Linked DNA regions of Tamandua tetradactyla. The protein of the gene in region 1 interacts with the protein of each later gene in a pairwise test. Links are inferred from orthologs where the notes say so. Each region holds a gene or a part of one and is shown in the gene's direction. Other genes may lie near its edges.

Region 1 (7,465 bases):
GGGGCCTTCCCGGGCCCTTCTCCAGTATGCTGTTGGCGAGTGGCTGTGCCTCCGCGCAGGTGTGTGTGCATCTCCAACAGCATTTGGGTTGTTGTCTCTGCTCCATGTCCTTCAGTTTGATGTACCTGCTTGGGATGCAAAGCGGGTGGGGACCCACGTCAGAACTGCTGGGGCCACCGCAGCACGTCCACATTCTAACTCCTGGAACCTGTGAACATGACTGTCTCTGGAAAAAGGATCTTTGCAGATGTAATTAAGTCAGGGATCTCAAAATGAGGTCATCCTGGGCTTAGGGGGCCCTAAATCCAATGGCAACGTCCTTACAGAAGAAAGAAAGAAGAATTGAGACACAGAGAGGGGCGTGCGATGGTGGAGGCAGAGATAGGAACGATGCAGCCACAAGCCAAGGAATGCCAGCAGCTACCAGAAGCTGGGGAGGGGGAGGCTGGTGGAAGACAGGAAGGATTCTCCCCTAAAGCCTCTGGAAGCAGCCCGGCCCTGCCCACCCTACACCTTGACTTCGAACTTCTGGTCTCTGGAACTGTAAGAGAAGAAACTTCTGTTGTTATAAGTCACCCAGTTTCTAGTTATTCATCATGACAGCTTCAGGAAACTAATACAGGCATCTTCCTTCCCCTTTTCAGTCCCACCTTTCCCTGACCCTTCGATTCAACAGGCAGTTACCCCCAGGCCCGCCCCCACAATACCTGCCTATGACAGTGATACATGAGGGATGCAGAAAGCCACTGCGGGGTACATACAGCAGCTGGTCAGCACTGCTTGCTGAGCACTCGGAGAGCCGAGCTAGGTTGGCTAAGCAAATGATCATATGTGACCCTGCCTATTCTAGTTTGCTAGCTGCTGGAATGCAATATACCAGAAACAAAGGCTTTTAAAAAGGGGAATTTAATAAATTGCAGGTTAACATTTTTTAGGCCACAGAAAGATCCCAATTAAAGCAAGTCTATAGAAATGTCCAATCTAAGACATCCAGAGAAAGATACCTTGATTCAAGCAGGCTGATGAAGTTCAGGGTTTCTCTGTCAAGTGGAAAGGCACATGGCACACACGGCGTTATCTGCTAGCTTCCTCTCCAGCTCCCCGGGAGGCGTTTTCCCTCTTCATCTCCCAAATTTGCTGGCTGGTGGACTCTCTACTTTGTGGGTCTGTGGTGTTCTGTTGTCCTTCCCTGCTCTCTCTGAATCTCTCTTTTACAGGATTCCAGTAAAGTAATCAAGACCCACCTAGAATGGGTGGAGACGCATCTCCACCTAATCCAGTTTAACAACCACTCTTGACTGAGTCACATCTCCAGAGAGATAATCTAATTAAATTTTCAAACATACAGTACTGAATAGGGACTAGAAGAAACGGTTGCCTTTACAAAATGGGATTAGGATTAAAACATGGTTTTTTCTAGGGTAAAATGTATATACATCCTTTCAAACCAGCACACCTCCCCAACTTAACCTGAGGCTCAGCCTTTGACAACTTGCCCCAGGTTACTGCTGGAAGCAGGCAAGACAGAGCTCCCCCAAATAGTTTATCTAAAGGACACACACACACACACACACACACACACACACACACAAAAACACAGGAAAGGAAAGGCTGTAGCTGCTTCAGCCACCTTTTGCTTAGCCAACTGTGTGGACCGAGCAGGAAGCCATGCAAGATAATTGGTGGTTCAACTGTGGTTTCTTTGTTTTCCTGAGCAGCTGCCGTATGCTGGGCACAGGGCTAAGTGCTGAGATCGAGGGTCCACCTGGAGCTTTAGAGTCTGGTTTGGAAGGACAGGCAATACATAAATACATTGATAGGGCAATAACTCCAGAGATTGATGAGTACTATGAAGAAAAGTAAACTGGGGGAGCACAACCACCTTGGAAAACAGTTTAGTAGTTTTTCAAAGAGTTAAATGCACACCTGCCATAAGATCCAGCCATTCTACCCCTGGGCATTTACCCAAGTAGATATACAATCACCATTTGCTAAATGAATGGAAAAAAAGGGAGAGAGAGAATGAATGAACCTATTCTAGGTGTCAGATTCTTTGAGGGTACAAAGATAAACAGGTACTTTTTTATTTTCAGCTGAGCCAGACAGAATTAGTGAGGGATGTGGAAAACATAGACTTGAATTCCAAAAGTATATTGACTAAAAAATGCCCCCAAAGCCTTGCAGAATGTGCTTTGTGGGGGTCTGTTTGTCCTTCCATGGTCAGGAAGAGGTTGTGGCAGGGCCCCCGGCTCCTCTGAAAATGGACAGCTCCATTTTCCTTTGTGTCTCTGTGCCCACTCTCTCCTACTGCCCCCAGCCAGCTGGGTCTTGCTCCTGCCCCCTGCCACCCCCACCCCATGCCTCTGGCCCCAGCTGGCCCGAATGAATGCAGCCTCAGTGTGCGAGCTGCAGAGTGTCCCCACAGACCTGGCCCTATGCCTCATCAGCGCCTGTCTTCCCTCCTTTCCTAGCTCAGCCCAGGGGCGTATTTCCCTGCGATGCAACCAGTGTAGCTCGATGGTTAAACGTGCTGGCTCTAGGACCAGACCCCTGGGTTCTCAAGCCGGTTTCAGTGATGTGACTTCGGGCAAGCCACTTAAAAGTCTCTTAATGTCACTGTAAAGAAGGTAAGGACAGAATCTACACCATAGGGTTGTTGTGAGCATGTATTTTACAGTGCCACAGAATAACTATCTAGGAGGAAATACTTAACTTCCCCATGTGGGGAATTTCTGATAGTCTCGCAAGCAGTGGGGACAACCAAATCAACAGGATTAGCCCTCGATCTTGGGGTTCGCCCCTATGAAACTTATTCCTGCAAAGGATAGGCTAAGCCTACTTAAAATTATGCTTGAGTCACCTGCAGAGAACCTCTTTTGTCACTCACATGTGGCCTCTCTCTCTCTACGCCAACTTGGCAGGTGAATTCACTGCCCTCCCCCCTACGTGGGACACTACAATGGTTGTATCAACTATAGACTTCAGTTTGCAGTAATTGTATTTTTTCTTATATACCACCCCATTATTAACACCTTGTAATAAGGACACATTTGTTCTAGTTCATAAAAAATAAACCTTTCTCATATTTTTACAATTAACCATTGTCATCGTCCACTCTAAATTTCATTAAGTTATAGTGCCTGTTTTCATCCTCTAGGTTTCCTTTTGGTGACACAGATGACCCTAGCCTTCCTCTTTCAACCATAATCACACTCAGCTTTGTTAATCACACAATACTGTGCTACCTTCACACAGTATTGTGCTATCCATTTCCGAACCTTTACAATCAACTTCGTTAAACATTCTGTATCCTTAAGCAGTCTCTACCCACTTCCTATCTCCTGATAACCTATGCTCTCAAATCACTCTCACAGTTTGCTCGTTATAGTTAATTCCTATTTGTGAGACCATACAGTATTTGTCCTTTTGTTTCCCTCGACACAATGTCCTCAAGGCTCATCCATATTATTGCATATAGCATAACTTCATTCCTTCTTACAGTTACATAGTATTCCACCATCAGTATATACCACACTTTGTTTATTCACTCGTCAGCTGATGGGCTGTTTCCGTCTATTGGCAGTGGTGACTCTTCCTTTCTTCACTTGCTTTCTGCATGCTTGAGGTGCAGACAGTGTTTCATAGGATCTCTTTCTCCTCAACTCTTCTTCTTCTTGCTGGGTTTCCAGTTAGATTTTTCTAAAACTTTTGGTAGGCTCGTTGACTTAAGTGGGCTCCAGCAGTGGGCCCCTTGTGTGCTGATAACAAAAGCTTGTATACGGCCCTTACCTTATTAACTCATTTATCTTTGCAAAAAACCTACGAGGTCGGTACTGTAAAGTCTCCACCTTGATGTGCTGAAGGGGCAGAGAGGTGACTTCGGGGATGAGACACCTGCAAGTTCCCCCGGGCCTCCTGGCTGCAAGTGGTCCCATCAGCCCAGGTGCCACCACCTGCTGCATACTCGTCAGTTTCCCGGGGCGGAGGCCGGAGCCAGAGGCGTGGAGATGGGCACGCGAAGCCCGACGCCGTCTCCTGGCAACCGGGCCTCAGTCACGTGGCCCGCTCGCGCCGCCCCACGTGGCCCGGGCGCCGAGTTGGGGTTGGAGCCGCCACCGCGGGCCGGGCGGGGCCGGCAAGTTCGTTTCTCGAGTTCCGAGCCCGACAGCTCCCGGCGGCGGCCGCGCAGGTGTCCTCGGCGGCGGGCGGGATGGAGCTGCCGGCCGTGAACCTGAAGGTGGCGATGGGCGCGGCGGGCGGGGTGGCGGCGGCGGGCGAGGGCGGGTCCGTGGGCGTTTGGGGCGTCTGCCGGGGCCGAGGAGCGCAGACGTGAGAGGACGAGCGTCTGGGAGAGAGGCGGGGAGAACGGGCAAGTTCCGACCCCAGGTGAGCCAGGGGTGGCCAGACAGACCCTCGCAGGGGGAAGGGGCCACGGAAAGGTCAGCAGGGCAGACCGAGAAGGGGAGCTGGAGGCCGGTGGGGAGGAAAAAGGTCGCCCCTTTCCGAGTCAGCCCGCTCTGTGGGGACTGCTGAGGCCTGCGCGCCCCGCATTCCCTCGAGGCGGAGGATGGCCTGGGGGCGGGGCAGGGGCGGGGCCAGGAGCCGGGGGCGGGGCCACGAGGAGGACACCTCCCCCCCGCCGGGGAGAGGGACGAGAGGGGCGAGACCTCTCACGTGAAGGCTTTGGGGTGGGCTGCTTGGCTCCGCCTTTGTTTACTGAATCAGGCAATGGAAAGCAGATGTTTCCAGACCAGCGGCTTCCCAGCTTTCTTATTTCGTAATTAAGAAACACGGCCGCCCATAAAAATTACTTAAAAGCAGAAAGCCCCAGTTAGTGCAGTTGGGAAAATGCGGTGGCGCTTCCTGGGGTGTCCCCACTTCCTGTGCCGCGTCCTCCGCTCGATCACGTTGGTCAGCGGAGGTTCTTCTTTTTCTCTCCGACCCGCGTCTTGGCCGTTTCTGACCCAGGGGCTGTTAACTTTGGACTGGAAGGGGTGCCCCTTGGGCCAAACCTGTCCGTCTTAGGTCTTGGCGCAGCCTCCTTTGAGACCGTATCCATGCTCTCCTTTAACTCGCGAGTGACGATACGTATTTAGCACCCCCTGTCTCAGACTAAAGACTAAAGGAACCCAAAGGACGAATGTTCCAGAACGACACGTAATCCATGTTGGATGATTAGGCATGGCCTGTGCTGTGGTTTCACCGGGCAGATTTCCCTTCTTAATCATACTTGCTTCTGCAAGTTCCCTTGAGGCTTCCAGTCATCGGCTGGGGCTAGGGAAGGGGGCTAGGTTTAATCTTTAATTGGGAGATTTCTTGGGGTCAGTACCCACTTTGTTCCTGTGATGTGGAGTTAGTGCAGAAGTTATATGCCTGCCTGTATTCAAAATTTTGTCCATTAGAGCTTTGCATAGAAAAAGTGATGAGAGAGAACCAGGCCAGGGACAGAGCTGCAGGAATGGAGAAGACAGGAGAACTGTCATTTATGGTCTGTCTGTGGTGTGCCAGCATAACTGGCATTGTCATCTTTTTACAGATGAGCAAAGTAGTTAAGAGAGGATAAGTAACTTGCCAAGGGCACACAGAGATTAAATGTTGGATTCGAACCCACAGTGTCAGACTCCAAAGCCATGTCTTTTCCTGGGTGTCAGGCTAGTTAGGCTGACTTTCTGCCCTGGCTATTTCTGTCCATCAGAGCAGGGGTTGGGGCTTATTCCATTTGAACCTTTTTAAAGCAATTTTATGTACCTGGTACTTCAGGTCCTGCAACAGGTGTGAGCTGTGCTGATTTCTGATGTCCAGAATGAAAAGGCTGGCCCTTTTCCCAGGCTCCTAGTAGCTACCAGTCAGAAACATTAAGAGTTGGGCGGTCCTGAGGGGCTAGCGTTGCCAGATAAAATACAGGCCATCCAGTTGAATTTAAATTTCTGATCAATAAGGATAAATTTTTAGTATAGGCATGGCCCATGTGAAATACTGTTTTTTGAAATTCAAATTGCACTGATGTTTTGTGTGTTTCTTTGCTAAATCTGGCAAGCCAGTGGTGGAAAGCTGTTGATGCTGTGCTCCCAGGCACCTAAGTGGGACGTTCTGAAGTCAGAGCCTGTCAGAAGCTGGGGCAGTGCTGGCTCATGTTGTTTGAGTGTCTCCTTGTGCCCAGCTAAGTGATAGATGCTGCTCTTTGCTCGCCATAGTGGGCAGTGGTGCCAGGTGAGAAGGAGCCACCCCATGCCCTTTACTCCCAGAGCAGTCTCTCCCTGAGCCCCATCCTTCCCTGTCTTGAAGCAAGTCCTGAGCAGGAGGAACGACGCTACGAGAAGCTTAGAAAGGACTAGACTCAGATTCATGAAGTCTAAGGGAAGAAGCCCCTGATGGTCTGGAAGCTGATCTCCTAAGAGTACCACTGGCTACCAGGTACCAGGGCTGAGCACCTGGCAGGTATTGTGTCGAGTGCTTCAATCTCCTTGTACCCCTAGATCCACAAAACAACCCTAGGAAACAGGTGTTATTACCCCTACTTTACAGAAGAACAAGTGGCCTCTGAGAGGCCAAGGGTCTGGGTCACACAGCTTCTAAGTCACGGAGCCAGGATTCAAATGCACATATTTGAATCCAGTGCCCACGCAGATGACCATTCCATGACCCTCTGTGGCACACCTGACTAGTGCTCCTAGCCTCAGCCATCTTCAGGTGTCTCGCTGTCTCACCTAACAGGTTGCTGAGTCTTTGAACAGGGCTGTTAGAAATATGTTCCTTCTGTTGATCTTAGATCTGTTTGCTGCTCATCTAGGACCCCACTCTCTATCCACCCCCCCCCCCCCCCATAGCAGACAAAGAGTTTAAGTCCTGCTCTACTTGATCCTTTGGTTTCTCCTTAACGTTCTCTTCTCCAGGCTAACCCACTTCATTTCCATCTGCCCTTCTTCATGTGACCCTTTCCTTGCTCCTCCAGTTCCTAACAGTGGAGCACGTTGAATAGAGCACAGGCCTTGGAGCCAGATAAACCTGCACTGAGGCCAGGCTTTGCTACTTATTAGCTCTGTGACCTTGAGCAGATTTCTTAACCTCTCTGAGCTTTGGTTTCCTTGCTGCAAAAGAGGCTAAAAATACAGCCTGCCTTCTAGATTTATTATAAGAGGAGGATCTGGTGGTCCAGGAGGTAGTGTCACATTAAAGCTAACCTAAAAACCCAGGCCAAGTAGACCTATCCTGAGGTTTGAGTCTGGGCTCTTTTATTAGCTTTATGATTTGGGCCAGTTTGCGTAATCTCTCAAAGTCTCTGTTTCTTCATACGCAAAGCAGGATTAATACTCTACTGCGTTAGAGTGTTAGGTCTACAGTTGTAAGGATGACCTAGCCAAGTCGTCAGTGCAGGGTAGATACATAGCAAGCAGGTCCCCATCAAGAGCAGGAATTGATGTTCATGTTATATGATGTGTCCACATGGCACCTAATGCTTGCCAAA
Region 2 (8,357 bases), on another chromosome or scaffold:
GCCTGACGGTTCGGCACCTGCCTCGCCAGCTGGCCTCCCCTGAGTGCCACTTTTTGTCCTTGTGGGGCCCCAGGGAAGACACCTCCCTTCTCTGGAACTCAGTTTCCTTAACTGGAAGATGGGGGTCTCAGAACCTGCTTTCCAGGGTTGTCGTGGGGACCGACGGCATCAGGGTGTCCCCAGCGCCAGGCCCAGTGAGGATCTGCACCCCCTGCGTGTTGGGCTCTGGGGTCGGGGAAGAGTGTGACGCCTGCAGCCCGGAGGAGGTCACAGCCAGAACAGTCACTTTCAATCTCTAGTGCCGGCACAGACTTCACGTTCGCTCCCCAGCTCGGCCCCCTGGACTGCGTGACTTTGAGCAAGTTGCCCCCAACCCTCCCCATCAACGTTCACTCTCCTCATCTGAAAAATGTGGCCAGTGACACACACACACACACACACACACACACACATCACAAGCCTGCGGAAGGGATGAAACAGGGTGATAAAGGAAAAACGCTGGTACACAGCAGATGTAAAATGAATGACAGCTGTTAGCATCAGCAGTCCACTCTTGCGGGTCTGTTACTGCAGGGCTGTGAGGCGTCACTGTAAAGCGCTGTGCACATGAGCTGTATGGTTACAAGGGCCATGTCGAAGCAGAGCAGGGGCTCCAGATTTTGGGTGGGGGTCACAGCTCACAGAACTCGAGGTGGAAGGCGCCTCTGATGGAAAGTAATTTCTGTTCCTGGCCGACCACCCCAGGTAGCCTGGACGTGGCCACTCTTAGGCCCTACCCCAAAGCCCCTGGCCTAAATAATTCCAGGGTGGAGCTCAAGCATCTATATTTTAAACAGGTTTCCTTGGTAATTTTGCGTAATTCTTTTTTTTCCCTTTAAATAAATGCTGTTGTCCAGAGTAAAGACTTCCAACCAAACTAGGAGATGTGCAATTAAAAGGAGAAAATAAGTGAGGTTCAAAGTGGGTTTTTTGGGTGAATTCCTCTCCCTCACTGGGGCCCAGGCTTCCCAGCAAGGAGGGTGATCTGGTGAGCTCTAAGGCTCCTCCTGGATTTAGGGTCTAATGTCTCAAGTGTGTTTATATGACCCATGAGCAGCCATCAGAAGGGAAGAGGCCGAGGGAAGTGTGCAAATGTTTGAGCAGGACTGTTGTGGGTTTGAGTGGCAGGATATAATTAACACTGGCCTAAGGGCGGGGGGGAAGGAGGGAGAAACTTTATTTGAACTGAAAATTCCAGGGGTATATGGATGGTTTCAGGCACAGCTGGATCCAGGGACTCAAAAGATGCATTCTCTCATTTCCTTAGTATTGGATTCATTCTCCCAGGGGCTTTGCCAGAGAATTGCACTGGAAGTGTCTAAGGAAAACACCCATGCCCAGGCCATCTGTGGAGACCCAGTTCCCCTTTGAGGGTGGACAGCTATTCCATCCAGGATGGTGGGAAGCTAACACGGTCTCCGGAGTTCTGTAAAAAGGTTTCCTTGTGGCAGGCAGGGAAATGTGTTTATTTTCTTCATGTGGGTCTAGTTTGTGCTGTCTTGTTCTTGTGTGTGTGTGTGTGTGTGTGTGTGTGCGCACACATACGTGTAAGCATGTGCAAGCTCGTTCTACTCTTCTACCCACACTATCAGAATAGGAACATAGGACTTCAGGAAGAAGGGGTGTGGGGTATGGTTTCTAACATTTTGGCAGATTTAACCTGAAGTGGATCAGACCAGAGGCTCCCCCAAATGTCTCAGTGGAAGGGAGCCCTTGAAGGTGCTCCCTTGTGTGAGCTGGGGCCAGAGAGGTTGCAGGACTGGGTTACTCATGGGTCCTTATGAACCAAAACCTCTGGGCTGCATGTGAGAGGACAGGGTCCTCTGCCTGCTTTACCCACCACCTTTGTGCCACCCTCTGACAGGCTCACCCCAAGGGGACAAGAGCTTCGAGTTGAATGTCTTTTCAGAGCTCGGCCGTGAGGGGTGATGGATGCCAGAGAGAAAAGGTGGCTCTGTCCTGGGAGGGTCCATGCTGAAAGGAAACATCCAGCAGAAGCCATGGCTCTGTCTTGGGAGGAAGGGAGGATGAGAAAAGGAAAGAGACAGGAAGGCGGGAGGTGGCTGGAGTCAGGTAGGAAGACAACCCAAGGACAAGAATAAAAATGTACAGTAATGACCTTGAACAATGGACCTATGGAAAGTTGGGGTCATGGCTCCCAGCCACATCAAGTGACACATTCATCTAGTCCAGTTTCTGAGCATTTCTGGTGAGGAGGACCTTACCACCTTCCCAGGTCATGGTTGGTTTGACAGGATGCCCCAGAGAGAAACCCTGAGCATCCTAGGGCAGGTCAGAATCTTGAGGACCCACGTGAGAAGAGAGCCCCAGAGCACAGTGTGATAACAACTTCCTTAGGGCAGAAAACAAATAAATACAGTCATTTCAAGTCGTGATCATGCTGTAAAAGAACTAAGCAAGAAGCTGAGTTTCAAACTCAGCTAGCGGAGGGGCTACCTAAGGTGGGCAGTTAGGGAGGGCTTTCTTAGGAGGTGATGGAGACAGCCATAGAGACAGCCAGGGAGGAGAGTTCCGGGCAGAGACAATGGCCAAGTGCAAGTGCTCAAGCAGGAAAGAGGTTGGCATCTTTCTGGAACAGAAGAAAGAACAGTAGGAACGAGGACGACAGAGGCAGGAGGTGAATTTTGAGAGGCAGTAGGGTCTCTTGTGAGCCATGGAATGACTTTGGATTTTACCTGAATGAAGTCCCTGTGGCTGCCTCGCTGAGTGGAGCAGATGGGGACATGTGCGGCAAAGGGAGACCAGGGACAAAACTGGCGGCACTGTGTCTTCTGATATTGTCAGCCAAGACACTTAACTCCTCTGAGCCTCCCTGAAACCCACACATGTGGGCGGCACGGAGGCAGACTTTGGTTCACCCTCTGGAGGCATTTTCTACCAGCTGGATGGAACAGACAGGCTTGGGGGTGGCGAGCTCCTTGGCATTGTAAATCTTTGAACTGAAGACATGTGATGGATGGGGCTCTGGTTGTGACCCTAACGCTCCCTGGGCCACAGTTCTAGACCTGTCTCTGTCTTCATCTTGCCAAGTGACCTCAGGCTGGGACTTCCTCTCTGTCTGCCTCCAACTGACAGAGCTGACTAGTGATCCCTTATGGTGCTCCCACCTAGACATTCCCAACAGTCCATCCTCACTCTTCGCAGCAACCTGCAGTGACCACCCTTGGGAGCTGGAAAAGGGCCTTCCTGTCTCAGTCCTGCAGAAAATCCTCCCAAACTCCATTCATTCCAACTCAAGCATCCTGGGTGACCTTTGGTAGGAGTTTCTCATCCTGGACAGGGATATTTTTTTTTGGAGGCAGTTTGGATAGCCCCGGAATCAGGCCTTGCTCCCATGGGCTGCCACCCATCCCGTTAAACATATAAGAACCACCTTCACCCAGCAGAGTCCCAGAGTTTGTGCAGAGAACGATCTCGTGAGCATCCTCTCGGAACCGGTGAGTGGTTGGCTGCTCCTGCCAACACCTCACATGGCGGCCTTCAGAAGGTCTTGGGGGTAAAAGGCAGGAGAATGGGCCTCTTCGGTTAGCTAATATTTTAAACTATAGCAAATTAAGAGATATAGAGATTTCATTAACAGAACTGTCAAAACTTGTGAGCAATGCAGGGTCATGAAAGTGATGCCCATTTATTATTGATTCTTTATTCAACAGCAGTGGTTGAATACCTGCTAGCTGCAGGGTTTCAACTGGGGGCTCGGGTGTCCAAGCCACGGCCCCTGCTCTAAGGAATTCATAGCTGTGTGGGAGAAGAAGACAAGTCATACAGGCACTAATATCCAGGACTCTCTCAGAGAATGAAGGGTGCCAGGTTGGGTAGGGGGGAGGGGGACTCCTAACACAGACGCTGGGGAGGACCATAGAGCAAGTTTCATGAAAGGCATGATATCCCGCAGAGGCCTGGGGAACCATTAGGAATCAGTAGATGAAAAGGCAAGGAAGAGGAAAGATGTCTCCGGCATAGAGAAGTGCTTGTGAAATGGTTTTGTGTAAAGATCATGGACGTGGCGTCAAGTCTGGCTCCATCTGGAAAATGGGTAACCATATCTATCTCAAAGGGATGTTAGTATCAGAACGGCAGGCGGCTGATGGAATATTCCTTTCGCTCTGGGCATTCTCAATCCTGTTCTTTCCTGACTGTCCAGGTATCAGGCCAAAAGATGTTTCAACTTTGGAAACTTGTCTCTTGTGCGATCTTCTCACTGGAAACCTCAGCTTCTGTCTTGAAGACTGATCGATGTGTCAGTTACTGATGAAGAATGATCTTGTGTGACGTGAAGAAGACAAAGTGGAACCTGTTCTTGACAAAGAACTTGAAACCTCTCTTGAAGACTCTTCAGGGTGACGTGAAGAATGTCGTGGACAAAGTGGAATGTTGTTGACAAAGAACTTGAACCTCTCTTGAAGACTCTTCAGGGTGACGTGAAGAATGTCATGGACAAAGTGGAACCTGTTCTTGACAAAGAACTTGAACCTCTCTTGAGACTCTTCGGGTGACGTGAAGAATGTCGTGGACAAAGTGGAACTGTTGTTGAAAGAACTTGAACCTCTCTTGAAGACTCTTCAGGGTGAGTGAAGAATGTCGTGGACAAGTGGAACCTGTCTTGACAAAGAACTTGAACCTCTCTTGAAGACTCTTCAGGGTGACGTGAAGAATGTTGTGGACAAAGTGGAACCTGTTGTTGAGAAAGAATTGAACCTCTCTTGAAGACTCTTCAGGGTGACGTGAAGAATGTTGTGGACAAAGTGGAACCTGTTGTTGACAAAGAACTTGAACTTCTCTTGAAGACTCTTCAGGGTGACGTGAGAATGTTGTGGACAAAGTGGAACCTGTTGTTGACAAAGAACTTGAACCTCTCTTGAAGACTCTTCAGGGTGACGTGAAGAATGTTGTGGACAAAGTGGAAATGTTGTTGACAAAGAACTTGAACCTCTCTTGAAGTCTCTTCAGGGTGCGGTGAAGAATGCTGTGGACAAAGTGGAACCTGTTGTTGACAAAGAACTTGAAACGGTCAGCAACATCCTCCAAGGTGAGTTTGCAGAGCACAGAGGACCTTGCCGCTCAAGACTCTGCCTGCACTACCTGAAGCTCCAAGGGCTGCCTTTTGTCCCTGGTTTGCTGAGAGGTGGCTCTGCCATTCCTGGCTAATGCACTTATTATCGTTCTAGAACCAAGTAATGCTGCAATGAATATCCTTTATACAGTGCAGACGGGTAAATTTTTGCCGATATATGCATGGGATGAATTCCTAAAGTAGGATATCCAAAGTTCAAAAGGTCTGCACATTTTAAATTATGGCAGATGTTGACAAACAGGCCCTATCTTACCTTCCTCAACAGCCTATGAGAGTGTCTTTTTTTCCACTCCTTTTCTTTGCATTGGAATGGACAACTTTAAATGTTTTCCAGTCTAATAAATGAAAGAGTGTAACTCATTCGACTTTGCATTTCTCTGATCCTATGAGTCCCCTCTATCTTTGCATGTTTACTAGGCATTTGCATGTTTTATTCATATTAATAGCATGTTGCTCTGTTGGATTTTTAGATTTTCTGTGTAGATTTTTGATAACTCGTTGGAAATTAAGGGAACTAGCCTACCTAGCTAGCTTTATACTTAATCATGTCTCCTTTTTCATACAAATCTTTAAAAGAACCTGGATTTCTCTCAATTCTTTGGATATAATATAGCCACTAACAAACATTCTTTACAGGAGGAGGTAACTTGTGCATGTAGCTGCCTTTCAAACCTTATCGGGGCTTAGGCACTCTTCCAAAAGGAAGAAGGGACTCACTTGCTAATTTCACAGCAGGAGAAACTGGGACAGAAATGCATGGATCAAGGTCCTCTGTTGAGTAATTAACCCGATTTAGTAATATAACTAGTTTCATTTAAATTCTTATTCCCTATTTGTATCATTTTAACTGGCCAGATACTGTCCTTTGCAGACACAGGCTGCAGTTCTATATCACACTTCTTTCCTTATAGTCTTTGTTTTTCCTTGGATTAGTAATTGCCTTTGTTGTTTACCATACACACAGCCTTAATTCTTTTCACATGGACCATCCTACCTCTGCCGCATTTATTCCATCACAACCCCATTTTCTTCCATTAGAAACACTCTGTCCTTCTTCCCCCGTATGAATGATTGTCCTCCAGGCCTGCTGCAAAGCTGTCATCCTGGTACTCCCCTTCCTCACTTTCACAAGTTAGAGCTATTTTTTTCCCTAGATTCGAACTTTTCCATTTCTTTGCTTACTTTCTCAGTTGGGCCTCATTTTCAAACTTCTTCGTGTACCTCATTTAGGGCAATAGATTACCCTACCCCCAAATTACTGCTTGAAACTGGTGTACAATCAAGATTAATTGCTATACTTGATCGATTGCCTCATTGATGAATGATCAGTAACCTATTAGTAGGGAAGCAGCATGGAAGGAACAATAACTCCCTAGTGGTGTGACCTTAGGGCACATTTACTAAACTATTTTTCCTTTAGTTCCTCCTCTATAATGCTCAGATAATAACAATACCTGCTTGCTTGGGTTGTTACGAAGATTAAATGAAATAACATTGACCAATAGTCTTCTTGAGTAACTGGCACATAGTAGCTGCTTCCTAAGTGGTGCACGACACCCAACAGTGATTGCCTTTGTCAGGTGTCCTTCAGAAAATAAAGGATGACGTGAAAGTGATCCAGGACCCTGCCACTTGGAAACCGCTCAAGGAGAAAATCGAGAAAGTCGAGAACATGGTGGAAAGTGACATTTCTAAGATGGTTTCAACTCTAGAGAAGTCTTTGGGGTAAGATGGTGCTCCGTAGTGGAGGCTTTGCTCCAAGAAAAACAAGAGAGGGAATACATCGCTTTGGGGGTGAGGGTAGGTGTGGGATCAAAGACAGAAAGGTGGTTAAATTTGGCTCTTCTTACACAGAGCCCAGGTGACCTAAGGCCAGGTCTGTCAGAGCTGGAGGAAACTGGCTGCACAGCTAATCTGGGCATTTCGTGGGTTCCACAATCTAAGGGTCAGGGTCGAGTCTCCTCTCACCTTCCCATCCACTTGTCTGCTGGTGTCCGAAGTCTTTCTCCAAGAAATAAAACTTTTCCTTCTTGGAAGTAGGCTTGAGATAAATCCCAAATCCCTGTAGGGGCAATTTCACATCAGGTAGCCCCATGGAGTGGGTCCCACACATGGAGGTTTGGAGTCGACAGTTCTGGGTCAAATCCTGGCTCTGGCGCTTATTCTCCTTGCGATGTGGGGGGTAAATGTCATTCACCTGAGCCTCTCTATGCCGTGCCGTTAAATGGACACGATCAAGCCTCTGAACAAAGTTATTGTAAAGGCCAAAGGAGACATGACACTGATGTGCTCAGCATAGGGCCGTCACAAGGAATGGTGACAAGCGTGAACTGTGGGTTTTGCACAGGTTGGAACTTGGCAACTCCAGCATCCTGAAATTCAAGAGTGAAGTGGCTTCTGATGGAAAAGGCATTAACTTAAAGATCCCCGTCTCCACCGATGTCGCCTTGCACCTGTGAGTATGCATGCCTTTGCATCTGTGAGTGAGCATACCTTTGCACCTGTGAGTGTGCATGCCTGTGCACCTGTGAGTGAGCATACCTTTGCACCTGTGAGCGTGCCTGTCTTTGCACCTGTGAGCGTGCATGCCTGTGCACCTGTGAGCAGGCTGCCTTTTGTCCCTGGTTTGCTGAGAGGTGGCTCTGCCATTCCTGGCTAATACACTTATTATCGTTCTAGAACCAAGCAATGCTGCAATGAATATCCTTTATACAGTGCAGACGGGTAAATTTTTGCCGATATATGCATGGGATGAATTCCTAAAGTAGGATATCCAAAGTTCAAAAGCTCTGCACATTTTAAATTATGGCAGATGTCGACAAACAAGCCCCTATCTTACCTTTCTCCAACAGCCTATGAGAGTGTCTTTTTTTCCACTCCTTTTCTTTGCATTGGGAATGGACAACTTTAAATGTTTTCCAGTCTAATAAATGAAAGAGTGTAACTCATTCGACTTTGCATTTCTCTGATCCTATGAGTCCCCTCTATCTTTGCATGTTTACTAGGCATTTGCATGTTTTATTCATATTATTAGCATGTTGCTCTGTTGGATTTTTAGATTTTCTGTGTAGATTTTTGATAACTTGTTGGAAATTAAGGGAACTAGCCCTACCTAGCTAGCTTTATATTTAATCATGTCTCCTTTTACATACAAATCTTTAAAAGAACCTGGATTTCTCTCAATTCTTTGGATATAATAATAGCCACTAACAAACATTCTTTA
Region 3 (7,412 bases), on another chromosome or scaffold:
TGGATTTTATTCTGAGAGGAGAAGCCATTAAAGGATTCTGCATTTAGAAATGATGTGATCTGAATTTTGTTTTAAAACAAACAAAAAGGGCTTCCTGAAAGATGGGTGGAAGTGGCAGACCAGTTAGCTGACTACTGAGATAATTCTGGTGAAAGATGAGGTTGACTTGAGATAGGCTGACGGCGATCATGGAGGTAAAACTGGGTCGATTCAGGTAGTCTGTAAATAAAGTAGAAGGATATGCTCATGGCTCTCAGGTGAGTTATGAGAGAAACAAAGGAGTCAAGGAGGTCTCTAGGTTTCAGGACTGAGCAATGGAAGAAGCCACTTATTGAAGACAGGGAGCTCTGGAGTAGGAATGAGGGTTTGGGTGGGCAATCAAGGGGTCAGTTTTGGACAGTTTTCTCTTTGAGACACGTGTTGGGAATCCTAGTGGAGACGCTAATGGGCAGCTGGATATGTGAATCTGGAATTCTTAGGAGAGGTTAGTGCCGGAAGTAGAAATTTGGGAGTTATCAGCTTCTAGAAGGTGGATGAGCTCACTAAGGGAGTGAGTGCAGACAGAGAAGAGGTACAATGAGTAGGTCCTGAGGTCCTCCAACATTTAGAGATAAGGAAAATGATGAGGACCCAGCAAATGAAATGGAGAAGAAATGGCTTATTCTTAGAAAGAGAATCAGGAAAGGATAATGTTCCAGAGATGCTGAGTAAAAAAAAACCTGTTTTTAGAGGGACAGAATAAGAGGATGCCAGCAAAAATGGCAGAGTAAGGACTGCTTAATTCTTTTCATCCACAAAAGCAATGAAAAAATTGGCAGAAATGGAACTCTAGAAACTAATCAAAGATTTGCAGCAATTGGGGAGCAGTTATCGAAGAAAAATGGCTGAATCTCAGTAAGAATGTTGAGTTTGTGTTTTAACTTGCTATAATCTTTTCTCCTGCTCTCCAGCCATGAGATAGACTTGAAAAATAACATACATAAAATATAATTTTCCAGCGTTTTGCTGGAAAGGGGAGCAGAGAAATGGGGATGGGGGTGAAGGTTGAGAGATATTATAATAATTCGGTAGGCTGATGGGAATGATTCCGTAGCGGAGTAAAAATTGGTAAGTGCCTCCTCTGTCTGTGCTATTAATGAAGAGACAGAAGGGAATTACTGGAGTATCATGCTTCTTATCTAACTGTGCCAAGCACAGGTGTCTCTGGTTATTGGGGGACTGTGTATGTATGTATGCGTCTACACACATGCATACCATTTCTGTGTGAATGTGTGTATAAAGTATAATACTATATTAAAATATTATGCCCATTAGTAAAGATACACAAATGCAAATTTTTAGAAATTTAAATTCTAAAATTTTTTAAAATTATGATGGCATTATAGGAACATTAAAATCTCAAGGCAAATAGATATTCGGAGTGAGGTACATAGTAAATGAAATCCGTATTTCAAATGTCTTCTTGATCACTTTGAATTTTCTGGCTGTTTTCTTGTCAGCTTTAGCTAGATCCAATCTTGCTCTTACCTTGTAGTGAGGCTGACAAAATTTTCATACCAAGAAGAGTAGAAATGACTGTTATTTATTATTTACCCTGCCTGTATTACTAGCATTGTCTTCCATTGGGAATTTTTTTGTTTGGCAGGTATGTTTTATTTTTATTTTTATTATGGAGAATTGTTAACATATATAAAGAAACAGAATAAGAGAATGAATCCCAATATACCCATCATTCTCTTCCACAATTATCAACTCATGGCCCATTCATTCTCCCCCAGCCCTGTAATATTTGAAAGCAAATCCCATACACCTGGAAATAATTCAGTATGTATCTCTAAAACATAAGGACTCTCAAAAAAAACATAGCTCCAAAGCCATTATCACACCCAAAATATAATTTGTAGGAATCTTTAATTTGTAGTAATGGGGGAATCTTTGCAATAAAAACCAGGTCAGGAAAGAGAGAAATGTATTTTTAGTACAATAAAGCTGAGGTCATTTTTCAGAAGGAGTAAGTTCAAAATCATATTAACCTGATGAAGATGCTTTCTTTGCATTGACTAGGTGGGGTGCATTTCTCTTTAAACTAGACTGCTGATTCTTTTTTTTTTTTAATTGAGAAATCTTCACACACACATTCCATACATAGTATAGAATCACTGACTCACTATATCATCACATAGTTGTGTCTTCATCACCATGATCATTTTTTAGAACATTTGCATCACCCCAGAAAAAAAGAAAGAACTCATACATATAACACATCTTACCCCTCCCTCTCATTGACCACTAGTATTTCCATCTACTTGACTTATTTTACCCTTTGTTCCCCCAATTATTAATTTTTTTATCCTTTTTTTTTTTCTCATCTGTCCATACCTTGGGTAAAAGGAGCAGACTGCTGTTCTGGAAGAAAATCTAGTGTGTGGTGGTGGGTTGTGTTTGTCTTCAGGTGCTTCAGGAGAGAATGCCCTGGCATTGCTGGTAGAGCAGGGCTGAGCTCGCATGGAAGCAGCCGATTCGCTGCCCATGGAATTCGAGTGCCATAGCCTCTCCCCACTTCCATCAGCAGAAACGGGAGCCCGCGAAAACCTCACCCTCACCCTCACCCTCACCCCGCTGAAGTCTGAGATACAGGGAGGGATGGACTGGAGACTCCATTATGCCACGGACAGGTGGGAGGCACTAGGCTGGAGGACCTGCAGGAACGCAGGCAACAGAGGGGGAACCGGTGGTCCCAGAGGGCGCAACGGACACGCTTGGAAGGCCCAACCCTTGAGGCTTGGTGCTCCCCTGCGGTGTGGGAAAAGGGAGCCAGCTGGTCTCTCCCTAGTTTTTAGCCCTGTACTGTTTGGGGGAAATTACTTGAAACGTCAACATTTTAACTTAATTTTTCCTCATAATTTACTTTTTTTTTTTTTTTTAGTGAATTATTTAGTGCAGGGAGGATGGGGGAGGCGGAGTTAGGATTTGGGCTGTGGGTAGTGGTGGCAGCGGAGCGGTCTTTGCAGAGAGGCCCCGGCCGTAGGCGGACACCCAGGCAGAGCAGCCGAGCGCCCCGCTGTCCTCCGGGGGCAGCCCACGGAGCCTCGACATGGAGCTGTGGTCACCCACATCCCACGCTGAGTTCTGTCCTTCACGGGGCACGGCCGGACACTCTGCGGTGAGGAGCGGGGAACCCAGGGCAGGTGGTCAGCGCGAGCTGAAGGGGCAGATGCCCCCATCCAATGTCTGCGCCAATGTAAATGACTTTCCCAGTAATTGTATTAAAATGAACGAGCCACTCTTTCAAAGAAAGTTAAAGAAATGCTAACACCAAAAATATCTCTGAACAGAGAAAGATCCTTTAGCTTGAATGTTCATTTTTATGAGAAATTCACTACATTGTTCTTATTCTTCTCTTTTCCACCAGAACTATTAACCACGGTGGGCAGAGCTGCAGACTCGCACTTGGAAACCCTCGGAGAGGAACCGTCAGGTGATCTCCGCGATGGTCCGCGCCTCACAGCGCCGCTCCGGCGCCGCAGGGGCCGCCTCCGAGGAAGTCACTGCTCGGTCACCGAACCCCACGCCCCACAAGACTCCTGGAGGGCAAGGACGAACGACTGGGGTCCTTTACCTCTGACCCTGCCGGGGCTCTGCTTTCTGTGGGAACTCGAGTGCTTTCTAAGGAAACTCGAAGTTTCTTATGCAAACTCGTTGCATAAGGCGGGGCACCGAGCAGCCTTCGCCTCGTCCTCAAAGCCGCGACGCTCTCCACATCCACCCAGGCCCGTCTCCTCCCTTCACCACCTGTTCACAGGTCCAGCCGGGCCAGCACCAGCGAGTAGATTGACGGATAACGCGCCTAAGGGGACCCGGCACAGACCGCCGCGCGTGCGCACGCGCACCGAACCCTCCATCGACCCGCCCAGCCGGGCCTGGCTTTCTCCAACCCCAGCACAAGGCTCTGGAAGGTGCCCGAGGGGACCTGCATGCCAGGGCAGCCTCTCATTGGCTCCTCTAGTTCCGCCCCTGGTTCCGATTGGCTGCAGGCCGGGTGCACGGACTGAGCACGCTCCCTGGCGTGGCGCAGCATTCGGTCGGCCACAGCGGCGCAGCCAATGGGAGCGGCCCGCTGGGCAGAGCCTGCCCTGCTAGGGGTGGTCCGGACTCTGGCTAGGTGGTAAACAGATCCCTCCCTCGTGCTAGCTGCCCGCGCTGCGGCGAACCCGAGAGGGACGCGGGATCTCCGGATCCTGCAGCCAGGTAAGGCTGCCGCCTAGGGCCCGCCGCATGTCCGAGGAGCCGTCCGGCTGTGGCCGGAGCTGGGCGCTTCAGCTGCCTGGCCCCTCTTGCCTCCTCCTGCAGTGACAGCGCGACTTCCCCTTCGCGAATTTCCACTACGGCGGGCTCCGGGGACGGGGCGCGGTGGGCTCGCCTCAGGATGCAGGGTGGGGCTCTGTGGCTGCCTCTCGTACCTGCGCCCACCTCAGCCCGGCCGACCCCGCCTCGGGGAGGGTACAAGGGTCGCGTGCAGGAACCCTAGGTCCTTGGAACGTGCAGGACAACTTCGGTGGCCGGCTCTCCCATGCCCGTGCCTCTTGGTCGCCAAAACAACTTTTTTTGCTAGGCTTTCTCATGATACTGTTTCTTTTTACTCCTGGACCCCAGATTCCCTTGCACTTGTAGCTTTGTGTCTCGGATGCAGATTTGTGCCTGAAACTTTGATTCACTTGGGGCCAAAGCCAGCTGTTGGATGTTAGCGTGGGGGATCTTGGTTAAGAGAGTCTGTCTTGGTCATTTCTCCCGTTTTTTTTCTGCTTTGGTCCTTCCTTCGACTTCTCCAAGCCCTGGGGATCTTGTGAGTGGTTTGGGCTTAATCTCCAGAACTGGGCCTTTCCCTGGCTTTGGCCCTATTCGCTGCAGAGGGTACGGCCCCTTCTGCTTTGGGGACGGGGGAACGCTGCAGTGGCAGGTCTGGATGTTGAGACTCTCCATTTGGTTCAGAGGGATAAATGTCCTAAAGGTTGAGAGGCTTGAGTGCAGCTTCCCAGCCTGGGTCAAGCCTGCAGCCTATTGAAAAACTTTTCTGTGCTCATTTGGTTTACATGGCAGAGCAAGGCGGAGATGGGCATGTTAGGCCTACCTCCTTGCTAAAGGACTTGAGCATGCATTGCTGCCAGCCTGTCAGGTGGCATGTTGTGGATGGGTGGGTCATTCTGGTAGGAGGGCTGTTGGGAAACTGTCTCTCTTGGAGGAGACAAAAGAGGAGCTGCTGACACAGAGGGGCAACATCTTTAAGACTCAGATGATGGCTTGGGGGAGTTTTGTTCTGCATTGCAAATAATGCAGATAGTGCGTGCTTGTTATAACTGTTGGCCTGAGCCCTGGCAACTCAAAGAAAAAGTGAACCTGGTGGTCTGTTTACCTCCCTCAGAGCCAGTCCTGTATGACAGGTTTCTCAACCTTGGAACTACTGATATTTTGGCCTGGGATAACTCTTTGTTTTGGGGGACTTCCCTGTCCATTGTAGGGGGTGTAGCAGCATCCCAGGCCTCCTGCCACCAGATGCTAAGAATATTCCTTCTCCCCTAGTCATGACAATTACAGACATCACTACATGTCCCATAGAGGGCAAAGTCACACTTAGCTGAGAACCACGATGTAAGGATCTTTTGAATATGTCCATGAGTAGTTGGAGAGGCTTTAGCAGAAGATAATGTTGTGTCCCCTGCCCTAAGCCAGCAGTAGAAGTTGTGTAGATTGGGCTTTAAAGGAGATCCTCCCTCTGCACCTGGGTAGCAGAGGTGAAACCTGCCAGCATAGAGATAGGAGGTAGAAACCATGGGCATTTACTGTGCCTGCTGGATGAGGGCAGCGATAGCTGTGTTGGGAGTGTAGAAGATGGTGGTTTCTGCCCTTGAGGACTTTTCAGAACTTTTGGGGCTATATATATGAAACACGTTTTAAGTAGTGAGCAGATGCCTTTATTGGTTTAAACACTGGTAGAAAAGCCAACTCAGTTATCCATTATCCATAAGTGGCTTTCCAAGCTGATGCTTCACTCACCCTTACTTTATGCTCAGATTCCTCTTGTGGCTTGTCGTGTGGGAGGGGGTCTGACCTATGTCTTCAGGGAGTGAGTGAGTGGCTGCATTTCATATGTGCGTGTGTGTTGTATTTGTGTGCACCATCTGCGGCTGCAGACTCAGAAATGTCATGGTGTAGCATGGCCACGGGTATAATTTGTGGAGCTCTTTTATGGTTGACTGAAGAAGCCATGTCATAAAGACAGTGTGCCATTTCTTCTTGTGCAGAGAAAGATGCTTTGCTTTTGAGGCCAGATTGTGCCTTCTATATAACTTGGAATATATCCCCCAAACTTCTAGGTCTCATGCTGATGGGGATATAGAAAAGATGAAAAAGGGGCGATTATTGTATAGGGCTTATGCAAGGAGAAACACCCCAAGCCCCTGACTGAGTTTCCCTTTCTTGTTGTTAATGGATCCTATGGATGTGCCAGGATATTCCTGTCACTATTTCTTGATCAGGTAGGGGGTCTTCTGGTTATGCTTTGTTGTATACAGAAAAGATCAGGGCAGGGAAGTCACTTCTCCTTTCGCAAAGATAAGTTTAGGGAAGTCTATTATAGGGAAGCTCCAAACTTGGCTGGATAATTTTCCAGCAAAAGCATGGACGCTGAGTCATTTTCTTTGTCAGTTGAAATGAGAGCTGTGTGCAGGATTAGACAGGGATATTTGAGTAGAGAGTTGTCTTGATTTGACAGTGGTGTCTGGAAATAGTTCGGCATTCCTGCTCAATGACGGGTAAGACCTTGGCACAGCCAGTGTTAAGGAGCTGGAGGGAGGGGGGCCTTCTGGAGTTGGACCTGGTGGGAAGGTGGAGCCTCCGGATACGGAGGTAGAACCAGCACATTGCTTGAGATGTGTGGCTAGTCCAAGCACTCTGTGAACCTGAATCTGAGTGGTATCCATTGGTCTCTCTGCAAGCATGTTGATTGTGGGGCTGTAGGTTCTTGAGCCCTTGACCTTTTGGTTTAAGAATAGAGGACCACAGAGTGTTTAAAACTGGAGGTGACCCTGGAAAACTCTTTATTCCTCATACCTGGGTGTAATTTTAGCATGTGCATGTATAGAAAGGGTCACTAAGGAGCTCAGTGTTTTTCACTCAAATTGCCACCTAAGGGTATCTTAGAATCTGCTGTAGATAGTGGCTGATACTTATCTCAAGAACGCTCAACTTGCTGGTGCCCCTGCAGGCCCTGCCTCTGAAGAAAAATCCACCTCAGAATAGGTGAATGTGGTTATTTACTCCTCTTTGAGCAAATACTGATTACCTACCTAGAGCCAGGCGCTGTGGGAAGATAAAGTGAATAAAGGCCAGGTCCCTGCTCTCTGGGAACTCAGGGG
Region 4 (7,587 bases), on another chromosome or scaffold:
TAAAAAATGTACATATTGCAAACTATGGATTATAGTTAACAGTAATATTTTCTCTTTCATCAACAGTAACAAATGTACCAAATGTACCAAACCAATACTGTGGTACATTTGGTAACAAACGCCCAAACCAATACTATGGGTCAATAATAGCATATATATAATACATACATATATGCTATGATGAACAAGTAGAGATAAGCCTGAAGAAGATTAAGCAGAACTTGAGACTCATGTCTCAAGCTAGGAAGCCAATAAAAAAATCTAAGCAAAAGGTAATCTACACTTATGTTGTGGTGGCAGGAATGGAAAAGGAAAGACATTTATGAAACATTACTGAGAAAGAAAAGACCAACTTCGATAACTATATGCAGATGGTAAGTGAGTCAAAAATCTAGGTTTCAAACTTTTGAGAAAGGGAGGTTAGTGGTACCATTAATAGATACAGGAGTCATAGGAGAAGATGCAGGCTTAGGGCAAAAGATGAATTTAGGTATATTATCTGATTCTAAGTATCAGAAGGAGATATTCAGTAGGCATTTGAAATTAGGGTCTAAGAGCTTAGAGATAAACAGAAGGAAAGATTACATATACGAAAGTATCCAGTACAAAGCCTGGGCCCCTTAGGCCCTCTGCTTCCGTCAGACCAAACCATCTGTAGTTTCCCAACAGAGTCAACCTTCCCATTTCTGGCTCCAAACTTTCCTATAAAACCAAGCACTTTTCCCCTACTTTACACCTGGCTAAATCCTAGTCATCCTTCAGGATGCTCGGGTATCATTTTCCCAAACCCCACTCATTTCAAACCAAGAGGATAGTACCTGTGTCTCATGTCTTTCTATATATGTACCCAGTTCCTAGCACCATGCCTAAAATAGTAGGCACTTGAAGTAATGACTGAAAGGGCAGATTTGGCAGTTGTTCAACAAGTGCTGCAGGGAGCTGATCCTCTTAGAGGTGACTGCTAAAGAAATGAACTTGGATGAGATTTTCAAAGGAGAGAAAGCAAACTAAGTGGTCCTAAATATAGGTAATCATCACGGAACCTCTTCATTCAGGGAGCAGTTCCCAACAATGGCTCTCAACTTCTTTAAGTTCCAAATACTTCATCTGTAACACAGAGATAATTCCTCCCACCTCATAGGCACTGGGAGCATCAAGTAAGACAGCATATGTAAAGATTAGTATAGAAGGCAGTCCCCACATGGCAAACGTGAAATTGTACTCCAGGAGATTAAATGCATTTTAGTCATAAAAAAAAAAAGATGAGTATAATGCCTGGCATACTATAGGTATTCAATTAATGTACCCTTCTTTACCCCAATCCCAACTGAAAGCATGTTAGAGCCTGCTTCTTTCTTTCCAACTTTAACGACCGCTATACTCTGAAAGTTAACCCAGCCTAGAAAAATAATGGACATTTAAGAGAGGCTAGCCAAGAGGGATGCCTTCCCTACAGCAAAGTTACTCAACCTCAACACTACTAACATTTTTTGGCCAATGATTTTGTTACGGATAGCTGTCCTATGCACCATGGAATGTTCAGCAGCATCACTGAATCCTACCCATAAGTGTAAGTAGCACTTCCACCCCACCCCAGTTGTGACAACCAAAAATGTCTCCAGACTTTACCAAATGTCCCCCTGGGGCAAAATCTTCCCTGAGTGAGAACCACTGCCCTAGCACTAACTGAAATTTCCATAGGGCCTAAATCCTTTCCCCGACATCTAAAGAAATCTATCATAAACTTGTTTCCCCTACTAACTGATTCTACCCAGTAAATTATGCTTAGACTTTATAAGCCATTTCTCTTTAAAGAGTTAACCTGAACTGGAAGTTATTTCGGTTAAGCATGTCATCTCAGGTGATACAGTCCAACCACTCAATGCATTATCATTCTCTGGCAAACTCATAAAATTCAATGAAAGCAGGAACTGTCAATTTTTGTATCTTTGCACAAAATTAAGAGATTTGTCCCAATATTCAACAGTGTCCAATCTTTTATTTGCATCAAGTATTTAAGCTCATGTCTACAGGTGCGAAGATGATACTGTATAAAACCAATTTTAGTTGCCTAAGGATGTTTACAAATTTAAATAGACACTAATGACATACAAACTGCATCATATGTAACTATAATTATGATGTATCACAAGCAAATATATTGCAACAAAATAAAAAGTTATGTATACAAACAAAAAACAAGAGAAAGTTGAAAAACAAAAATTGTATTAACAGTTCACTAGGGTTTTTTTTTTGGTAAATTGAAGTTAATATGTAGAGTATAATAATTAAGAACAGACTTGGAACCAGAATACCTGGATTCAAATCCCAACCCCACCACCTTCTAGATAAGTGACCTTGATCAAATTACTTAATCTCTCTATGTCTGTTTTCTCATCCATAAAATGGAGACAATTATAATAGCCACCTTACAGGATTGTTGTGGGGAGCGAATGAATTACAATAGGTATATTGCTGAAGCAGTGCCTGGGCATGCATATTTAAATATTAAATATTATTGATCCTCATTATTTTTAAGGATTTATAAACAAAAATAAGCATACCTTGGGTGGTATAAAGGCAAATACAATAGAGTAAAGTATCAATGAACCTGCACCCAAATGTTCTGATTTCAGTCGTTTAACCAGTTGTTTCATTTGGGCTTCAATTTTCTCAGCTGTAAAATGCGAGAATTCTTGTCCTCGTTAACTCACAGGGCTGTACAGTGAGATAATAAGTAGAAAAGCACTTTGAAAATGGATGACCATTACATATAAAGTATTATTTTACTAAGGGGAAATCTAAGGTTTATATGTTTGATGAAATAGCAGAAAAAACCTAGTATCTGTCTTCCAATTTGGTGAGGAAAGTTTTGTGAAGGAAACACTAAAAAAGGACAGTCAGAAAAGTATATGCATGCAACTTAGGTAAGTCAGAGGGCCTTTGCTTTACCTTACAGAGCATGAAAGCTTTAGATGAAAACTAGAACATCCTGAGAAGTTAAAAAAAAAAAGTTTATTTTCTAGGCATAAGATAGGCACACTCAACCTTTGAGGGTAGTAGGAATACATTAAAAGCATTGGCAGGGATTTGATATTTTGCCACATGTTACCATGGCCACACTACCAGGCCCCTAAGTGACCTTTTCTTCAATTTTAAGTGTTCATTATTTAGAGCTGAAGAACACTGGTGTTAAAATAAATAGGATACGACTTATTTCAGGAGGGCCCCAACAGGTTTAGTTTGTCTGGTTTTAGATAGAAAAATCACTGACTTTCCACATGCTGTTCAAAATCACCAAATAATTTTGATGTAGCTTTTTATACTTATTAAGAAGGGGAATTTTTTTACCATTGTATTTTTTTATTAGAGAAGGTGTACGTTTACAGAAAATCATGCATAAAATACAGTTCCACATGCTATTCCATTATTAACACCTTGCATTAGTGTGGTGCATTTGTTGCAACTGAAGAAACAATATTTTAATAACTGTATTACTAAGACAGTGCGTGGTTTACTTCAGAGTTCAAGTATTTTCAATAACTTTTTTTAAGTAAAAGTTGCAATGCCAATCCATGCGAGGCAGCTATCAGAGACAGAACTGTGTCCACTGCTGCTAAAAAAGTGCAAAGAAAAAAGAATAATCAACCTTTCCTATCCACTCAGCCAAATGTCAGCCCCGCAATGCCCCGGCGGTGGCGTTGTGGGTCCCTGGCAGAGGATCTTCAAAGTTGCCGGCTGTTAGAGTCTGTGCGAGGAGCAAGGTCAAGGCGCCCTTCCGCGACACTTTCCTAAAAATCCCCAAGAATTCGCAAGTGGTTGTCACTGCCCCAGGGTACAGCAAGCTTAGGGCCTCCTCCCCGGCTAGTCCTCGCGGAAGAGGAGGTAGCCGGCTTGGATTCTGGTCAGGTTCTCATGGGTCGCACCGGCCCAGCTGAAGCAGGCTAGCACGTGGCGCCCGCAGCTTGCCTGCCACCGCCTCTGCCCACAGAACGGACACTCTGATTGGCCAAGGAGGCCGTGAGTCCGAACCGCTCGGGAGCGGACAGCGAATGGGCCAGACAAATTGGGCGGGTAAAGAGGTCGCGACTACGCGGGCAGCTCCTGGGCGCCGGTCCCGCGCGCTGACCCCACACGGGCAGCAGGAAAACACGCAGCGCCCGGCCCGCGCAACCCCACGTGGGCCCTGGCTTGCGGCAGCCGTCGCCACCCTCCTCCCCACGTCGGGGAGCGCTCACCTCAGCGCTCGCGGCGCCTCCACCTTCAGCTTTTTGGGCTTTGGCTCCTCCTCGGTCGCTGCCATCTTCGCCTTCCCACCCCACTTGGCTTGGCTGCGCTCCACCCGCCTCGGCGCTCTGGCCCCGCCCCTGTCACATCACTGCCTCCTTTTCTGCAAAGCACGCCCCTCTCCCCGCCTCTTCAGGGCCTCGCCCAGTCTGGGCCTCTCCCGTCCACAACCAATGGTTTTATCCGTGGTCCCCACAACCAATACCCCGCCCCTTTTTGGCCCCGCCCCGCCTGCGGGGGACCCGAGAATGAGTTAGGCCGCGGATGAGCGCCTGCGCTGGAAGGTGCGAAACCCTTATTCTTCTAGAGGCTGGGTAATCTAGAAGATTTAGATCCTCAACCTTAAGGAACGTCTTTCATCTCGTTTAACGTCTTCTGGCTTTTTTTAATCTTTCCACTACTGCAGACCGAGTCAGTGTCTATGAAGCTGTTAATCAGGCAATCTCCTGAGCACTCCAACTACGGGGTCCTCACGGCCTTCTCAGCTGTCTCAGCCTAGGTCGGGAGAGGACCCGGCACCGAATCACTGACTGGCCCAGGTACCGGGGTGAGTGTGAGGGTGGGGACGGTGGGGGCAATCTGCAGCCTGCGGACAGCTCGGAAAATGGGGAACAGGCTGAATAGCTGGGGCTCCGGACTTCACCTTGGGCGGCGGGAGCGTCTCCGGTGCTGTGGGGAGGGGCCGCGCTCCTTCCTGGCCTCCCGGGCTTTGTAGCCAGCAGGGCCGGAAGGGAGCGATGTACCTGCGGCCCAGTGGTCTCAGAACCTCGGAACTGCGGGTTCAAGCTAGTCTGTCTTCACGCCCTGGAGCGGGAGAAAAGGTCTTGTCACCAGTATTGAGCTTGAAGCAACAACAGCTCGCACCTCAGGTCCGGGCTTCCGTTTTGTAGAACGAAACCCCTGACGAAGTTGAGCGGACGTCCTGTTAGAGGGTGGTGCCGGGATGAGTCTGGGATAGGGAATACAATACTGTAAGAAGGATGTGGCAGTTCTTCAGAAGAGGTGACAGAGAGCTAAACCGATGAGGTGGGAGGGAATACAGAAAAATTATGAGAGATGTCACTGGTTGGATTTGGGTTGAATTTGAAGCTGAAGTTTCTGGCCTAGATGACCAAGGAGAAGATGCTAACTCTAAAGTTGAGAGTTCTCACTTGAAGAAGAAGGAATTTTGTGGAGATCGGATGCTGTGTTTAGTTTAGAATATATCGAGTTTGAAGCAGTAGCTTAGGTGGAGATGGTAGAATAATTTTTAAAAATAATAATAAAAGAAGCCTGGGAATTAAACCGAAAAAAAACTTTCAAGGTGAGAGCCAAAACAGGTGAAGTTTCATAAAATAGCGTAAGAGGTATTTGTTTTGTATGGGGGAATTTTGCCAGTGACTTGAAATGCGGCATAGGTCAATAGAGGAAGTCTGAGAAGAGATCATTGGATTTAATGATTAGGAAGTCATTGATTGAGAGAGATGCTGCAAGTGTTAACTAACCCTTTATCATTTGGGGCAGGAAGCAAAAGATAAACGAGAGTGGTAACATGGGGAAAATATTTGGATGTTTTGTTTTGGGTTTTTTGTTGTTGTTTTTTTAAAAAAGATTACAAAGCATTATGTTTCCAAGCAGTAAGCTAGTAATTAATGTATAAAATTAAAGGTTTAAGAAAGAGAGGTATGATCCCAGAATTGAATGAGGGTACTGGAACCAAATTTACAAGTACAAAATTAATTTAGAAAGATAGGACACTTGAAACTGAAACTGTAGGAAAAGTGAAGCATACAAAGTGAATGAGAAATTAACTGAAACTTGTATATCTTTATATATATACACTTGTTTATCTTTAATAGGAAAGTTCTCTTTACAACAAGGTTAGTTTTTCTCACTGAGTTCTATGATTTTTACATGTTTCTAAACATTCAACATAATGTACTACTGAGAAACATGGCCCTTCTCCTTAGGGAAAACAAATCCTTTCACCTAGTTACCCAATACCATTTTCTCCTTCTTGGGGTCCTCTTTCTTTCACTTATTTCCTCTCTCCTACATCACAAGCCTTCTCACACCTTCTCTTCAGCATTTAAAAATATTCTTCCTCAATTTATGAACTATTCCCACTTATTTTCCTCTCTTTTCATCCCCTTCACAGCTTGACTTCTTGAATATGTCATCTGCTCTCCCTTTATCTCTATTTTTCCCACTTCTTGCTATTTATTACTCAGCCCACTGCAATCTGTCTTTTGTTTCCAGTATTCTACCAAACTACCACTGAAACTGCTTTTACCAAGATCACCAATGTCCTTTATGTGTTAAATCTCTCAGTGAGGACAAAAATTGCTTCTTACAGGATGAAAAAAAATCTTACTTTTCTTATATTTAAAGCACAGTTTACATATAGTACATAAACAAACATACCATATTCTGTGGTATTAAAATTTCATGGATAACTTGATTATAACCCAGTGAGACCTATACTGTAAGATAATACATTTGTGTTATTTTATATAACACTATATATATATATCTTGGGAGGTGGTTTGCAATTATGGGAGATGGTTTGCAATTATGGGAGGAAGAGTCTAAAAGGCCCATCAGAAGGATGATAATGAAAATAAGGTTAAGAAAAACTTAAATGAATAGACAGTTTCAGTTCTTCTTATAGCTTGACTTCTCTGTGCTACTTTTTGTTTACAACACGGTTCTTCTGGAAACACACTAACACACTCTAGTTGGTTGTCAACTTGGCTGACCTCTCAATGTCCATCTTTGTAGTTCTTAACACCTAATATATAAAATGTATTCAAAACTACTTGTTGAGAGAGATTTCAGACCGAGTTGAAAGGTTATGCTGGAGGTTGTTCTTGGGCATTATATAGATATTCCTTTTTGGTTTGTGGTGTGTTAGAGTGACTGGGGGGAAGTACCTGAGGCTGGTATGCTGTGTTCCAGAAGCCTCAATTCTTGGAGACGATTGTATAAAGATATAACTTTTACAGTGTAACTGTGTGATTGTAAAAGCTTTGTGTCTGATGCTCCTTTTTTCCAGGGTGAGGACAGATGAGTAAAATATGGATAAAAAATAAATAGATAATAGGGATAAGGGGTAGAGTAGATTGCATAGATAGAAATGTTGGTAATCAGTGGGAGGGAGGGATGAGGGGTATGGTATGTATGAGTTTTTTCTTTTTCTTTTTGTTTCTTTTTCTGTAATGATGCAAATGTCCTAAAAAATTATCATGGTGATGAATACACAGCTATGTGATAATATTTGTGAGCCACTGATTGTACATCATATATGGAATGTATGTGTGA

Evidence for each region.
Region 2: the proteins of AGTRAP (region 1) and BPIFA2 interact in binary tests that used the Homo sapiens proteins (3 or more experiments, as listed by UniProt). The two-hybrid records come from large-scale screens. The link is inferred for Tamandua tetradactyla from reciprocal best matches to the Homo sapiens genes AGTRAP and BPIFA2.
Region 3: the proteins of AGTRAP (region 1) and COQ8A interact in binary tests that used the Homo sapiens proteins (3 or more experiments, as listed by UniProt). The two-hybrid records come from large-scale screens. The link is inferred for Tamandua tetradactyla from reciprocal best matches to the Homo sapiens genes AGTRAP and COQ8A.
Region 4: the proteins of AGTRAP (region 1) and AP3M1 interact in binary tests that used the Homo sapiens proteins (3 or more experiments, as listed by UniProt). The two-hybrid records come from large-scale screens. The link is inferred for Tamandua tetradactyla from reciprocal best matches to the Homo sapiens genes AGTRAP and AP3M1.

What each region holds. Positions count from the first base shown.
Region 1 is NC_135328.1:213,743,053-213,750,517, reverse strand, and holds the start of AGTRAP (type-1 angiotensin II receptor-associated protein), read left to right. Parts: upstream 1-4,086; 5' UTR 4,087-4,210; coding exon 4,211-4,237; intron 4,238-7,465. UniProt on the Homo sapiens protein: Appears to be a negative regulator of type-1 angiotensin II receptor-mediated signaling by regulating receptor internalization as well as mechanism of receptor desensitization such as phosphorylation.
Region 2 is NC_135327.1:19,916,279-19,924,635, reverse strand, and holds the start of BPIFA2 (BPI fold-containing family A member 2), read left to right. Parts: upstream 1-4,970; 5' UTR 4,971-5,089; intron 5,090-8,357. UniProt on the Homo sapiens protein: Has strong antibacterial activity against P.aeruginosa.
Region 3 is NC_135333.1:19,603,950-19,611,361, reverse strand, and holds the start of COQ8A (atypical kinase COQ8A, mitochondrial), read left to right. Parts: upstream 1-4,056; 5' UTR 4,057-4,248; intron 4,249-7,412. UniProt on the Homo sapiens protein: Atypical kinase involved in the biosynthesis of coenzyme Q, also named ubiquinone, an essential lipid-soluble electron transporter for aerobic cellular respiration.
Region 4 is NC_135339.1:22,542,294-22,549,880, forward strand, and holds the start of AP3M1 (AP-3 complex subunit mu-1), read left to right. Parts: upstream 1-4,440; 5' UTR 4,441-4,571; intron 4,572-4,693; 5' UTR 4,694-4,826; exon of another isoform or gene 4,827-4,834; intron 4,835-7,587. Other genes in the region: ADK (adenosine kinase), read right to left, coding at 4,239-4,303. UniProt on the Homo sapiens protein: Part of the AP-3 complex, an adaptor-related complex which is not clathrin-associated. The complex is associated with the Golgi region as well as more peripheral structures.